3 linked regions of the Coturnix japonica genome follow. The protein of the gene in region 1 interacts with the protein of each later gene in a biochemical or structural test. Links are inferred from orthologs where the notes say so. Each region holds a gene or a part of one and is shown on either strand. Other genes may lie near its edges.

The links.
Region 2: the proteins of FGFR1 (region 1) and FGF8 interact in a biophysical measurement, tested with the Homo sapiens proteins (2 studies listed by BioGRID and IntAct, with this or other methods). The link is inferred for Coturnix japonica from reciprocal best matches to the Homo sapiens genes FGFR1 and FGF8.
Region 3: the proteins of FGFR1 (region 1) and FGF4 form a complex in vitro, tested with the Homo sapiens proteins (2 studies listed by BioGRID and IntAct, with this or other methods). The link is inferred for Coturnix japonica from reciprocal best matches to the Homo sapiens genes FGFR1 and FGF4.

What each region holds. Positions count from the first base shown.
Region 1 is NC_029537.1:3,713,788-3,718,192, forward strand, and holds part of FGFR1 (fibroblast growth factor receptor 1), read right to left. Parts: intron 2,951-4,405; coding exon 2,687-2,950; intron 2,048-2,686; coding exon 1,964-2,047; intron 1,720-1,963; coding exon 1,544-1,719; intron 860-1,543; coding exon 736-859; intron 239-735; coding exon 48-238; intron 1-47. UniProt on the Homo sapiens protein: Tyrosine-protein kinase that acts as a cell-surface receptor for fibroblast growth factors and plays an essential role in the regulation of embryonic development, cell proliferation, differentiation and migration.
Region 2 is NC_029521.1:19,853,907-19,858,801, reverse strand, and holds the start of FGF8 (fibroblast growth factor 8), read right to left. Parts: upstream 3,506-4,895; 5' UTR 3,043-3,505; intron 2,551-3,042; 5' UTR 2,467-2,550; coding exon 2,435-2,466; intron 2,327-2,434; coding exon 2,290-2,326; intron 651-2,289; coding exon 470-650; intron 1-469. UniProt on the Homo sapiens protein: Plays an important role in the regulation of embryonic development, cell proliferation, cell differentiation and cell migration. Required for normal brain, eye, ear and limb development during embryogenesis.
Region 3 is NC_029520.1:7,213,225-7,218,135, reverse strand, and holds FGF4 (fibroblast growth factor 4), read right to left. Parts: upstream 3,506-4,911; coding exon 3,202-3,505; intron 2,410-3,201; coding exon 2,306-2,409; intron 2,175-2,305; exon of another isoform or gene 2,081-2,174; intron 761-2,080; coding exon 584-760; 3' UTR 483-583; downstream 1-482. UniProt on the Homo sapiens protein: Plays an important role in the regulation of embryonic development, cell proliferation, and cell differentiation. Required for normal limb and cardiac valve development during embryogenesis.

The sequences.
Region 1 (4,405 bases):
CCCATAGAGACCCGGGCTGAGGCAGCCCGGTGTGTGTGCAGCGTTACCTTTAGGATCTGCACGTAGGGCAAGTTGTCGGGGCCGATCTTGCTGCCGTTCACCTCGATGTGTTTCAGCCATTGGATGTGGGGCTGTGGGTCACTGTAGACCTTGCAGACGAACTCCACGTTGCTGCCCAGGGCCACTGTTTTGTTGGCTGGGAGCCCTGCCTGCAGGATGGGCCGGTGCGGGGAGCGCTCTGCAGGGATGGAGGGATGGGGACCTCAGCACGAGCAACCCACATCCACAGGGGTCTCATCCCAAAGGGGTCTCATCCCACAGCCCCACAGAGCCAGGTGACATCCCAGCACAGGGACATTGCTATCTATTCAAGGGCCAGAGGTCAAACAAACCTAATGAGGGCCCCAGCCGCTGCCACTGTGGTGAGTCAGCATTAACAAACCCCTTTGTTCACCTCGCTGACTGTTCCCTTCAGTTTGCTCAGTGTAATCAAATTAAATCACATTCTTAATGGTTCATTTACTGGCATTTAGAGCAACTCCACATGTGGAACTGCTCAGACCAGCCTTCCCAGCTGGGAATTATGGCTAATAAGGCGATTAGAAAAAGTTTCTGTCTGGTCTATGAAATTACTTCCATCACAATTAAAAAGCCCCAGAAGGGTTCGAGGTGAACCTCGTGGGCGCAGCACCCACTGCTGTGTGGGAGGCAGAGCAGCCCCAGCACCATCCTCACCCACAACATCCAGCTGGTAGGTGTGGTTGATGCTCCCATATTTGTTCTCCACGATGCACGTGTAGTTGCCCTTATCTGATGGCACCACCGAGTCCATGATGATGCTCCACGTGGCATAGCGGACCTGGGGCAAAAGGATGGGGGTGGTGGGTGAGATGTGTGCACATCAGAGCATCTCAGCCCATTGGCACAGCATAAATCTTTTCATGGTCAACTTTCCCCTCTCCTACAGAGGGACCATAATTGCTCCCACCTGTCCCAGGAGCACCACCCTGAGTGGCACAAAGGGAACAGCACCCACATCCATGTTCTGATGGCACGCTGGCAATGCCCAAAGCCTTGAGCTTCCATCCCATTCTCCACCAGGGCTCTGCACACAGATGGGGAGCACCAGCACCCTGCTGCCCTGGGGGGCACATTGAGCCCAAACACTCCAGGCTGCACCAAGGCTCTGTAAGCAGAGCAGCTCTTCTTCATCCTCCTTCTCCCACAGTGCAGTGCTGGATGTGGGAGTTGTGCGGTGCTCCCAGGGCTGCCCCGACCATCCTGGCTCAGCTCTGGGATTAGTGCAGCCAGGCTGGGCTCATCCCCCTCCCCTCCCCCAAAGGTTAAGGCTGCTGCAAACATGACCAAGAAGCAGGTCACTGCCGTGGGTCTATTTTGCAACAGGAATGTCAGGGGGCCCATCTGCCCTTCCAGAGGCACGCGGCTGCACCAATGGGCGGCTCGGGGCCTCTGAAACCCATTCATTTCCCCTCCTCCCACATTGACCCCCAGGCATTGACCACACGGATTGACCACTCTGTACCTTGTACCCCCCAATGCGGTGGTCAGGTTTGAACTCCTTGCCATTCTTCAGCCAGCGCAGTGTGGGGTTGGGCGTCCCACCTGAGGGGCACTTGAATTTCACTGTTTTGGCAGCAGGGACGGCATGCAGCTTCTTCTCCATCTTCTCGGGATAGGTCCAGTAAGGAGCTACAGCCTCTGCAGGGCACAAAGCAGCAGGATCAGCCACAGGGAGCACTGATGTTTGCTCATGGTTAACATAGGGCAGGACTGGGGTGAGGCGCACATATCCCTGGTACATCCCCACACCCCAACCAGGCTCCACCAGGGCTGCAGCAGGACTCTGCCTCTCCTCTCCTGTCTCTCAGCCCCTGGATGCCGCTCACATGCACACCTGGCTTCCCTTCACCCCCACCCATAGGCAAACCCAACCCACACGTACGGTTTGGCTTGGTGTTATCTGCCTCCTTCTCCTCCGAGGAGGAATCGTCTTCATCATCATCATCCTCTGCAGAAGGGAGCGCATCTACAAGAGAAGAGACCCCCAGCTCATAACATTGCACAGACCCCTCCTGTTCTCCTGTGCACCGTGCTGACACATGGCATGAGGCCCTGAGAGAACACTGCATGGCTGGAGCACAGAGCTCAGGGAGCAGTTTGCCCCCAAGGCTGACTTTGGGCACAGGAAAGCAGTGCCCACACTGTGCTGCCAGGCACATCGGGACACCCATCCATCCGGGGTCCTGCAAACAGAGGAAGCCCCGACCCTCAGTCAGCCCTCATTCCTCACCACTGTGCTTCAGATCCACCAAAGAAAACCTCAGCTCCAGCTCACCCGGTGCTCAGTTCCATGCAGACTCACATGTCCCCACACATGCATTGCCACCGTGGAAGAACACTCATGGACTCAATGGGTGCAGAGGGTGCTGGCCACCAACTGTGCAGCTCTGAGCAGAAAACCCAGCAATGCTGACCCCGCTGCAGTGCTTTGTGTTGATACATCCCCACGCTGAGCCATTAGGGCACAACCACCCCATATTGCACAAAGTTGGTGGCGCATCCCATGCGTGCAGGGCTGCACCCCACTGAGCTTGGCAGCCAGCATGCAAGGCGTGCACACAGGCACACTGCTCCTCGGTGCTGCCCCCCTGGCACCGCTACGAACCTGAGACGTTGACGGAGAAGTAGGTGGTCTCACTCCCTGAGGGGCTGTTGGTCATGCAGGCATAGAGCCCTGAGTCCTCGGGCACCGCATCCCGCACCTCTACCTCCTCTCCAGTGATGCGCGTGCGGTTGTTCTCAGGCAGCTGAACTCCATCACGCACCCAGTTGATGCTCTGCACGTCATCGCGCAGCCGGCAGCGCAGCTGGAGGAGGTCGCCAGGGTGAGCAGAGTGGGATTCCACCTCGATGTTGGCTTTGGGCAGAGCTGGAGGAGTTTGGGAGAGAGGAAGAAAAGGAGAAAAAAAAGAAAAGAAATAGAGACAACGGGACACCAGGCTGCTGAGGGCTGGGTTAATCAGGCAACATGCGCTGCGGGATATTGGCTGAGGGACAGGGGTGGACCCTGAGCACAGCCACACTGAAAGCAACCAAAGCAGCCCCAAGGCACAGCCGTGGAGCCCAAAGCTACGCAAGCGCCTTCAGTCTCCTGCCAAGCGCTGCAGAAGGGGGTTGAGATGGGGAGGAATTTGCAACCTGAGGCACACTGGGCAGAGCTGGCAGCAGGGCAGGATGAGGAGCACCAAACCCTGCACGGCTCGACCCCAGGGTCTCCCTGCCCAGCAGCAGACAGCCAGCAAAGCAGGCCGGGACCCCCTGGCTCAGCACCAGGCGGTTACAGGGCTATGCTGGGGCAGCAGGCAGAGAGCAGGGCTCAGTGACAGTGCTGGAAGCTCAGCCTGGGGGCTGCAGACAGGTGGGGGCTGTCGGGTGCTCCCTGCCCGTAGCCATCCTGCGACGTCCTTCCATCAGCACAATGATCCAATCCATCCCAGCACTGTTCTCTCCTGGTCATCGATGTTGTTTTCTCCTCACCCTGCGGTGCTGCATGAGGATCCTGCACTGGGTGCAACCATCTGGGTTCCCAGCAATCCCTCCCAGTGCTCACACTCAGCCTGGTGCACTGTCTGCCCTCCTTCCTGTGTCAGCTCTGCTCGCACACCTCTGCTGCTATCTCCATAGGGTGTGTTCTTCCTGCTCCTCACTGGGCAGCCCTGCATGGGCTGAGCCTCCTCTGCTCATTCCATCTCATCATGTTGACTTTCCAGGTGGAGATCCCAAAGCAAATCCTCAGGGCCTGCTCCCTGCATGTGTCACCTCCAGGGCCTTTCCAGCTGCAATCCGGTGCTTCCCAGGGACTTCACATCATCCAGTGAAGGCATTCCAGCCCCAACCATGCACACATCCATCAGCTGTGCTCAGAGCGGAGTGATGGAGAGCCAGTGTGCAGCTCCAGAGGCTCAGGTGCAGCCCTACCACTTCTCACTCCTCCTGCAGCCCTCACATATCTGAGCATCTTCAGAGGGACACCATCCACCGACAGCTTGTGAGTTCCTATGAACTCCTCCATGAGAACAGCATGTGGCAATGAGCTCAGCACCCTCCTTGATGGCAACAAGGGCCAGAACCAGGGCTGGAAGTTCCACTATGAGGTTACAGAGTCCTGCAGGTTGCGGGGGGGAAGAGCTCATCTTTTGCACATCCAATTTCCCCTTGTTTTTCTCCAGCTGCCACACAGGACAGAGCTCCCTGCAGCTCTCATTTGTGTTTCAAAAAGATTCGTCACAGGCACATACAATGCTGGAGCCACATCCTACCCAAGGCACAGCCCCACAGCATCCTCCTGCCCCTACAGGATGAGCAGGGGGAGAACCCAAAACCA
Region 2 (4,895 bases), on another chromosome or scaffold:
TTTGTCTCCTCCTCACCTGCAGTCAGCACCTCACTGAGCCCACACTCCTTGCTCAGAAAGGGGAAGCACAGGGGGTACGTGGGGGAAACACCGCTTCGGATGTCTCTAACTCAGGGCAGGACTCCAGAACAGCACTTCACCTACAATTTCAACCCCCCTCACTTCTTTTCTTTTCCAACTTTGCCCTCTGTTTCTCCTCCAAAGGAAGAATCAGAGACGCTCAGTGCTGCCTGTGCCAAACTGAGCCTTGCAAGTCAGGTGCACAGCAGCACTGAGCAGCACCCACCCCACAAGCACCCAGACCCACTGAGCGCTGACCCCGCTGTTCTCCCTTCACAAACCCCCACACACTCCAAACGATCCTAATGATTTCTGCTCAACCAACAGGACGGAAACCATCAATCGGCACACAGCACTGAGGACACCTCCCAGCCCCCCCCTTAGCCCCCCCGGCCGCGTCCTTCCTTACCGTGCACATCCCCGTCCTCTGCCATCGCATTGATTTTCTTGTTGTCCAAGATCTGCACGTGCTTCCCGCTGGTCCGGCTGTACAGCTGGTAGGTGCGCACGAGCCGCCGGCTGAGCTGATCTGTCACCAGGCTCTGCTCCCTCACATGCTGTGTAAAATTAGGTGGGGACTGAACAGTTACCTTTAGGAAATTAAAAAATATACGACACACCATTATAATCTCTACTCCTCAGAGGGGAGAACGGGCTGAGCAAGGATCACCAGCGCCTGCAGAGGAGGAGCAGAGTCAGTGGGACGGGGGGGAGCTGAGCCCTTTGGGGACCGGGATCCCCCAGATGAGTGTGGGTGTCTTGGGGACATGAAGGAGCTCAGGGACTCCCAGTGTCCACTAGGACTCAGTGGGTCCCAGCTCATATGGAGGTACCTGAGATGGGGTATGCAGCTTCCAGGACCCCCTTTCCCCAAAACACCCTGCTCTTCATGCCCCAAACCCACAGATGAGGTAGAGCTATGAGCCATCAAGACTCCACTCCCCTCACGGGGTATCTATAACACAAACCCCAAGGAGTACCGTTACCGACGTGTGAGCCATCCTTCACCTTCACCCCCATCCCGGTGCCATCCCCATCCCAGTGCTGACCCCCGGCCCCATAGCAGCAGCCGACCCAACTCCTCCAGACCCTCTGCTCCCCAGACACAAGCAATTCAGCCCGATCCGCTTCCCCCATCCCCAGCACAGGGCTCCTTTCCCTTCTCGTCTCCATCCCCTCTTTTAAGTCCGGAAAGTTTCGCTGCTCACTGACATTTATAAAGACGTATTCTGAGCAAATGTTAGCGGGTCGATCCTTTCAACACCAGCAGGCCGGGACCCCCCCGCTACCCCCACGTCAAACGGGAAGATTCCCCACCACCAGCAGACCCCAATAAAAGCCGGAGCCGCCGCTCTCCCGCAGCCGCCCCTACACCGACATTTCCCCTCTCCAGTGCCACCCCTCTGCCTCCGCGCCTTTCCTTCAGCCGCCTGCGGATAACGCACGGACTCTCCCGGCCCTGATGAGGGTACCATGTGGAGGAGAGGTCATTAGCCGTGCCGCTCCGTCTCGTCCTCCAAAATATTACAGCTATGTTTTATACAACCGCACACTCCTTTTTGCTTTGGGGCTGGAAACTCCATTTTTTTTTTTTTTTCCTCCTGAGCTTCCAATGAAATAATCATAACAATAATAATAATAAAAAGCGGCTTAAGGAGCGTTTTCAAAACGCTTCTGCACCTGTGGCCTCGGGGGAGGGGGTTTCACCCCGCTTTGCACACACAGCCGCAGCCCCATCTCCTGCTGACACTCCTGGCCCCGGCGATGCCAACCAGCAGCAGCAACGTTCAGCTGGACTGAAATCTACGCTTTTTAGTAAGGAAATGGACTTTCTTTCCCTCCTTCCCCTTTTCCTTCCCTTTTCTCTTTTCTTCCTCTCCTCCCCCCCACCTTTTCCTTTATTCTCCCCTTTTTTCTTCCTCCACCCCGACGCTTTTATCTCGATTCTACTTTACTTTTCAGATGAAAAAACACCCCCACACGAGAGGAAGGGCCGATCCGTAGTGCGATTTGAAGAAGAACGGGAGGACCGAACGGCCGAAGCCCCTGCAACCAGGGTGGGCGAGGGGTCCTCCCACCCCCGCACCCCATCCCGCAGCCGGTGCGCAGCCGCCCGCTCCCGGCTCTTTCCAGCGGGGCTCGCGTCGTCTGAGGGACTTTAAGCCAACCCCCCGTCCCGACCCCCAGCCCCGAGGGGCGAACAAAGCCGGCGGCGGAGCGGGAGCTTACCTGGGCTTGCAGGCAGAGGACGAACAAGTGCATGAACCTGGAGGGGGGGGTGGACAGAAAACGGGAGAGAGATGTGAGCCGGGGGGCTGCGGGGAGGAAAGGAGGGAGGGCTGGGGGCAGGCGGAGGGAGGGCTGCGGTACTCACACGTAGCTGAAGAGCGAAGAGCAGGGGTCCATAGCGGAGCGCTGCGGGGCCGGCAGCCCGGAGCCCGGCGGTGGGGTGGGGGCGCGGCTCTGCTCGGCTCCTCGACTCCTCTCGCCCTGCCTCGCCCCGAGGAAAGGAGGGCACAAGCGGCTACAGAAGGGGAAAGGCCCCCGCCGGCCCGCCCGCCCAGCCCCCGGGGGAGCGCGGCCGGCAGCCCCCCGCCGCGGGGAGCCCCCCGCCCCGCTCCGCTCCGCTGCCGGCCCGGGAGGCGGCGGGGGCGGAGAGCCCGGGGGGCGGCCCCGGCGGAGCAAGGGAACCTCCGGCAGCGGCCGCTCGGGGGTGGCGGCACTACGGGCTCGGCCGGCGGAGGGATGCCGTCCCCGCGCCGTGCCTCAGTTTCCCCATCTGTAAAACGTGGCTTACGGGTCCGCGTTGTGGATTGGGGCCGAGCCCTCTCGCTGGACGTGCCAGACATTAAAAGGATTACCGGGGCGGAGGGGTGGGCAGGAGTTTCGAGAGGCTGAGCAAACAGCGCAGCCGGGGGTACTGGGCGGCGGGACCCCCCCCTCTTCCCTTCCCTTCCCCGGACGTCCCCGCCGGGCTCTTACCTGGAGGGGCGGCCGTCCGTCAGCACCGGCTGCGCGGGGCCATGGGGCCGCGGCGGGTCGGGGCTCAGCCCCGCAGCCCGGGTAGGGCCGCCGAGGGCTGCATTGTTCGGCGAGCCCCGTTGCTCCCGGCCCCGCCACCTGTTGCGCACCGGGGCGGGGGCTGCGGCGGGGCTGCGGCTGACGGGCGGGACCCCGGGGCCGGTACCTGGCCGGGGCCGCCTGCTCCGCGCTGAGTGACAGCCGCTAATTTGCCGGCCGTGCCCCGCTGCCGGTCCCCGCGCTCCCCGCGCCCTCCTTTATCTTATCAGAGCCCATAATTACAATTGCTATTTTGTTTCCTCGAATCAGCAATCAGCGCTATCTGCCGCCGCTGGAAAGGCAGCTCCTGTCAGCCGGCCTCTGAGTGACAGCGCACACACAGCGCTCCTGCGCGGCCCTCCCGCACCGGCACACGCACACACACACACACACATACACACACACACACATACACACACACACACACACACACACACACACACACACACACACGCACACACACACATACACACACACACACACACACACACACGCACACACGCACCCTGCAGCCCCGCACAGCCCTCCCTGCCCTGCCCGCACACCGCAGCTTGCTCATTCCCCCCTTGCTCGGGCACCCTCCAATGCTTTGCCCCCAAACGCTGCCCACCATCACCCCCCGAGGCTCACCCACCACCAGGCGCTGGGAGCGGCCACCACACCTTGCTGCCCCCTTCTTCTCTGTGCAAAAGACCGGAGGATGTTTCTGAAGGGCTTTCCTGAATGGCTGGAGAAGCCCCAGGCTGGGCCCGCTTTCACCCAGGGGGCTGCAGGGCGGGCTCTGGGGGTGCTCAGCCCCCTGCACCAACCCAGGGTGCAAGGCAGCTCCGTGCCCACAAGCTGAGCACCAGAGCAGGCAGCACAAGGTGCTCCCACCACCCTGCAGTGGAGCAATCCTTCCTTTCTTATACATTGCAAGGAAAGGGGTCTGGATGCAGCACCTCTCTCCCAGATGCCACTCGTGCTCACCCCTCCGTGGGCGCAGGGTCAGGCCATGCAGCACCATGCAGTGCACAGAGCGCACAACTGCACCGTGTCCAACTGATGCTGTGCTGGGGGGTGGGAGGCAGCCGGGGGCTGACAGCTCCACGTGCCCCCTGCCCTCAACAAACAGGCTCGAGTGGCAGCACGGCTGTGACACGGGGATCACCCACGGGCGGCCGCACGTCACCGACACAATGACAAACAGGCTCCTGCTGCTGCCCCGTCCTTCCCCAACTTTGTGCAGGTGAGCAATGCCACGGGGCGGGGAGCTGAGCACTGGGCTCACGTCTGGCTCTCCTGCTGGGCAGAGAAAGCTCAGCCTGAGGCACTGGGCTGAGCTGCCATAGGGCGGGGGGAGAAATCCCGTCCCAGCAAGGAGCCACGGATCTGCGGTGTTCCTGCTGCCACAGCGGTCACTCCTGGGGCAGGCAGCCAGCACGGCCCCATCGGGTCTCAGTACTGAATGCTGTGAGTGAAGCATCAAACACCCACAGAGATGTGAGCTCTGCTCTCCTTTTCCATAGAGCTGGGGATACTCAGGTCAGGATTTTATCCCCCAGATCACCCTCTTGCCTTGCCATGGCTAATGGAGATTGCCCAGGAAGGCAGCCTGTGGTCAGGCTGCTGGTGGTTGAAGGAGATACCAGGGCTGCCCCAGCTGGGCTGAACCACGGAGCAGACAGCAGACGGGCCGTCCTGCTCCTCTGTTTGCTCCATCACACAACATCCCTGACAGCCTCCACAGCTCAGCAGTGTCCCTGCTCCAGCACCGTCTCTACCCACAGCCCTGA
Region 3 (4,911 bases), on another chromosome or scaffold:
ATTCCAATTAAATAGCAACGCTGCACAAAGGAGGTCAGGCATTGTGTGTGGCTCCGTGCCGGCATCCCACCCAGGCACCTCCATGCTGCTCCTTCTCAAAGGCCAAGAGCTTCTCTGGGATTCGTGGGGGTTTTGAAAACACAGAGGGGAACAAAGCCAACATAGCAAACAAATACACGTACTACAATAGACGCTACACAACACACCAACAGTGCAAAACATGATGTAGTAGGAACTGAGTGTCACCGGTTATAGAACATGTAGTAGCAGCACACCTGTGATAACTTAGGAAATGAATTAAATAAACCACAAAGCAGAAGCCTCCTACTGTTGCACCATGAAATGAAATACCTAGGCGTGGAGGTTTGTTTTGCTCTTAGGAAAAAAAAAAAAAGAAAAAAAGAAAAAAAAATCAGAACTATAAATAAGTTTAGTGGCAATATATACAGATTTAAATAATTAATTTAAATATCTTACACCTACTCTTGCATAAAACTCTCCAGTAAAAGTGCACCACGTTTCTCTTTTCCCAGATGTGTTCTGAGTCTTCCCCTGTGCTGAGGTAGGTCGGAAGGGAGATGTCTCAGATTCTAGGAAGAAAATGTGTCACCGTCATTGTGGGAGATACTTTATTGCCTTTCTTTGTTCTTCCGTTTTTGCTCAGGGCTATGTACATCCCGGGATAAATCCTGGATTCGTAAGCATTGTAGTTGTTTGGCAGGAGGATCTCTTTGAATTTGCACTCGTCATTGAAATGGGTCTGAAATGAAAAGGAAAGAATGAGAGGGAAGGAATTTTAAACATCAGGTGCAGAAATATTCTTGCTACCAGGTGTAGTAGGTGTGCTGCAGTAAACGGTGCAGCTGACATCCCCCCCTTCCCTTAGTAATCTTTTGAAGTGGTTGTCCAAAGGAAGCTTCAAATGACACTCAGAGAATTACTAAGGGTGCTGCTTCCCAGCCAGGCACAGACACGTGGAGGATGGAAGGACACCCTGTAACTCTGCCTGTGCTCTTGAGAGAAAGAGGTCCATTTTAACAGAGGGCACTGCATTCAGGAATGACCCAGGTGCTGTTCTGCTGCCCTGCTCATCCTCTAGGTTGGCGGATGAGTTTTCCTCATGAAAAAGAAGGGGAAAAGAAGCTGTCAGACATGAGTAATGACAGTTATGAGTTGTAACCGGTGCTCATGTCCCCATGTCAGAATGCAAGGGCCCACAGATATTTCTGAGTCTGCATACCAGTAAATTTACTTGGTTCCCAAACCAGTGGTTGTCCTAGCAATGAATTCCCTGATAGGCTTCAGAAAAAAAATCTGAATGTTAGCACTTTCTCATTTTGTTTGAAGGGAAAGGGGTATTTTAAAGATGCTCAGCATGGACAGTATTTTCTGCACCTTCAGTTTTAAAACTGAAGGAAGGGTTTAGATTTATCTGTGTTAATGGATCAGGAAGACAGAGCTGACAGAAGGCATGTTTCTAGTAAAGGGCTTTCACATGCAAGTACAAAGAGGGACAGGTGTTACAGGTGTGTCATACAGGCAGTAACAAATGAAGTCATCTCTTGTTAGTGGGCAGAAGTTGATAGTTTTGTAAGATAGGTCTCAGCTTGCCAGGCTGAACGCTGCATTGAAAATTGCTTTATCCAAGACACCAAAGCATCATATTGTCTCCTTTAGGCTTGGCACAAAGGGAGCTCTTGCACTTTGATGACTAGTCATTCCTGGCTTTCATGTAAGTCAAAATCCTCTGTGACAGGACGGATGCCACAGAAAATAGCTCTGGATAATTCAAGTCTTTATGCATGTGAATATGCCCTAGTCAACTTTGACATAATTTGGCCCTTTTTTCAAAACATTCCTCAGAGACATGAAATACAAAATCCATGGGTAGGGAAGGAAATTCAAGAACACAGGATTGAAATTATGCTTTAGCTTACATATAGGTGAACTCAAAAGCAGAAGGACAGCTCAACATGGGTTAAGATGTGCACTGTTACCGTCCATCCAATGTGTTTTAAAACATGCCACTATTTTTTCAACAGATTAAATGTAATAGAAGCTTTGCATTGTATCTTAATAGATCTGCCTTCCTATAACTAAGAACCTGCACCCTGAAGATGCTGAACTCTCATGGGAGCTCTCCAATCAAGAGTATCACAAGGAGTGATCAATAGGTATGTGACAGGCACTGATTAATCACACCACAAAGGATCATTTGTGGGGCCCTGGCTTCCAGCACCATGTACATCTCTCATTCCAGGCCACCACGGTCCCCTCCCCAGGCACACAACTGGTGGCTACTTACAGATCCATAGAGTTTGCCTTTGCTATTCATGGCCACGAAGAGTCCACTTCTAACACCAAATATGCTCACCACTCCTCTTTCCACAGGGGAGATTTCCAGCAGACCTACAGAAGAGACACAGGAATCAGGGGGACAAAGGGTTGTGCCCTGAGGGATTGTGTGATATCAGTTCTGCACTCGTTCAAAGATTCCCATCCCCAGTGTGGCATGGATCCCTGTGCCCCAGCACTTCTGTGGGTGGCCACAGAACCCCAGCCTTGTGCCTCACGTGCTGCCCCATGCACCATGCTGGGACCTCTCTTCTTTTAGCTAAGTATCTATTTTTACATTGCCCCCAGGCATCCTCCTCTGTAGCTAAGGTTAAAATAAGCTAGAGTGTGCTTGGGGTGTCCGAAACATTTGTCATCATGCAGCTTATATCCCCCCCCTTGGATCTTATTGTTTCAGTTGGATATCAGAGTCACGGGGCCATGGGGTTAAGACTCTAGCAGATGCTTTTCAAGTCTGAGGGAGAGCTGGGCCCTGGCTGAGTTCTTCCCAGCCCCTACTCAAGTTGGGCGGCCCGCGGGCCCGAGGACCCTCCAGATGTTGAGGCTGCCCCTACACCTGATGCCTGCTGGCTGCGAGGGGACAGCGCGACCCGCGGGGCGGCCGCATGGAGCGCTCTATGAGCTCCGCCGCCGTCCCGTTCTCTCGGGCGCAGGACGCCCTCGGGGCAGCCGGTGCGGACGGACTTCTCTAGGCGTTTGGAGGTCTGCCCCAAGCCCACCCTCCCTTTAACTCACACCGCAGTTAGGTGAGGTGAGCCGCTCCGCACCAGCAGAACCGTCAGAGAAGCGGTTCCGCGGGTGCGGAGCTGCTCACCAGCCCGGCTGCGGGGGTCGGTGCCGGCTTACTGTATCGGTTTTCGCTGTGGATCCCATCGATGCGGCCGTCGGGCAGGACCTGGATGTGGAAACCGATGCCCACGTTGCAATAGAGACGCCGCAGCCGCTTGATGCCCAGGAGGTAGTCGCCGTCGCGGGCGGCATCGCGGCGCTCGGCCGGGAGACGCGCCACGGAGCGGGCGAAGAGAGCCGCGTCCCAGCGCCGCTGGCGGGGCCCGGCGGGGAGGCGGCCCGGGGGCGGCCGGCCGCGCACCGCCCCCGGCCACAGCAGCCCCAGGAGCAGCGCCGGCAGCAGCGCCGCGGGGAGAGGCATCCCGGCTAGCGGCGCTCAGCCACGGGCCGGCGGCCGGTCGCTCCGAAAAGGCGCTCGGCCCCCAGCTCCCGCTTTATAGTGAGGTCAAAGCGGAGGGGAGAAAAATCAAAACAAAACAAAACACACACACGGAAAAAAGAAAAAAAAAAAAAAGAAAGAAAGAAAAAAAGAAAAAAGAGAAAGAAAAAAAATAAAAAAAGAAAAAGCGAGCCGGGAGGAAGGAGGCAGCCCCGCGCTCAGTCCCCTGAGGATCGGCAGTTTCCCTGGGCAGGCTGCATGAAGAGGAAATCCCAGGAGCAAGAGCTTCTGAACTTGATCTCAACTCCAGGAGTCTTGTCTGAAGTGCTGATCTTCTATAGCTGCTCAGCCATAGCGCTTTAGCCCTAGCCACGATATTTATATATCCATGTGCGTTGGTACCTATTACATCACCACCTACTGTGCAGGCCCTCGGTTTTTAGCTCAAAGTCAAATTATCACCCCTAGATCTTAACACTCCGAAGCGCTTCAGTGGGAAAGGGTTGAGCAAGCACTGGCACTAAACAAGAGGGACAGCAAACAAACTTTTTAAAAGAAAAGGTCATATTCTGCATTAATCACAAAGTTGTTTTTCCTTCCCTTTTATGTTTCTCTTTCCCTTTATTTCCCTTTCCTTTCCTCTTTCCCTTTCTCCTTCCTTTCCTTTCTCTTTTCTTTTCTTTTGTACTCTTTCTTTTTCTTCTTCTTCTTTGTCTTCTTCTTTCTTCTTTTTTTTTCTTTTTGTTCTTTTTTTCTTCTTTTTTCCCTCTCCTTCCCTTTCCTTTTTCTTTCTTCCTTTATTTCTTCTATTTTGCTATTTTTATCACCTGTCCTTCTCTCTCACTCCTCTTTCTTCTCTGTATTCCTCCTCCTTTCTCTTCTGCTCTCTCTTCTCTTTCTTCTCTCTCTTCTCTTCTCTTCTCTTCTCTCCCTCTTCTTTTCTCTCTCTTCCTCTCCCCTCCCTCCTCTCTCTCCTCTCCTCTCTCTCTCCTCTCCTCTCCTCTCCCTCTCCCCTCCTTCCTCTCCTCCTCTCCTCTCCTCTCTCCTCTCCTCTCCTCTCCTCTCCTCTCCTCTCCTCTTTTATAAGTGCTTACAAATGCTAACACAGGACACAAAAGTCAGAGAATGCCCAGCACACTTTCCTCTCCCAACACAATGTATGACTTTGTGGAAATCTGTGGAATTTCAGCTTTTGCTGTAACCAAGCGACATGGTTTACTGTTTGCTGGATGCAGAAAAATTCCCTTCATTAACAGCCAAAATAGTTGTTGCATGGGAGGTTTACAAAATGAAAAATGAAAGAGAATGCAACAGCAAAAACAACAACAGAAAAGAAGAAAAGTAAAGAAAAGTAAAGAAAAGAAAAGGATCAAAGAAAGAAAGAAAGG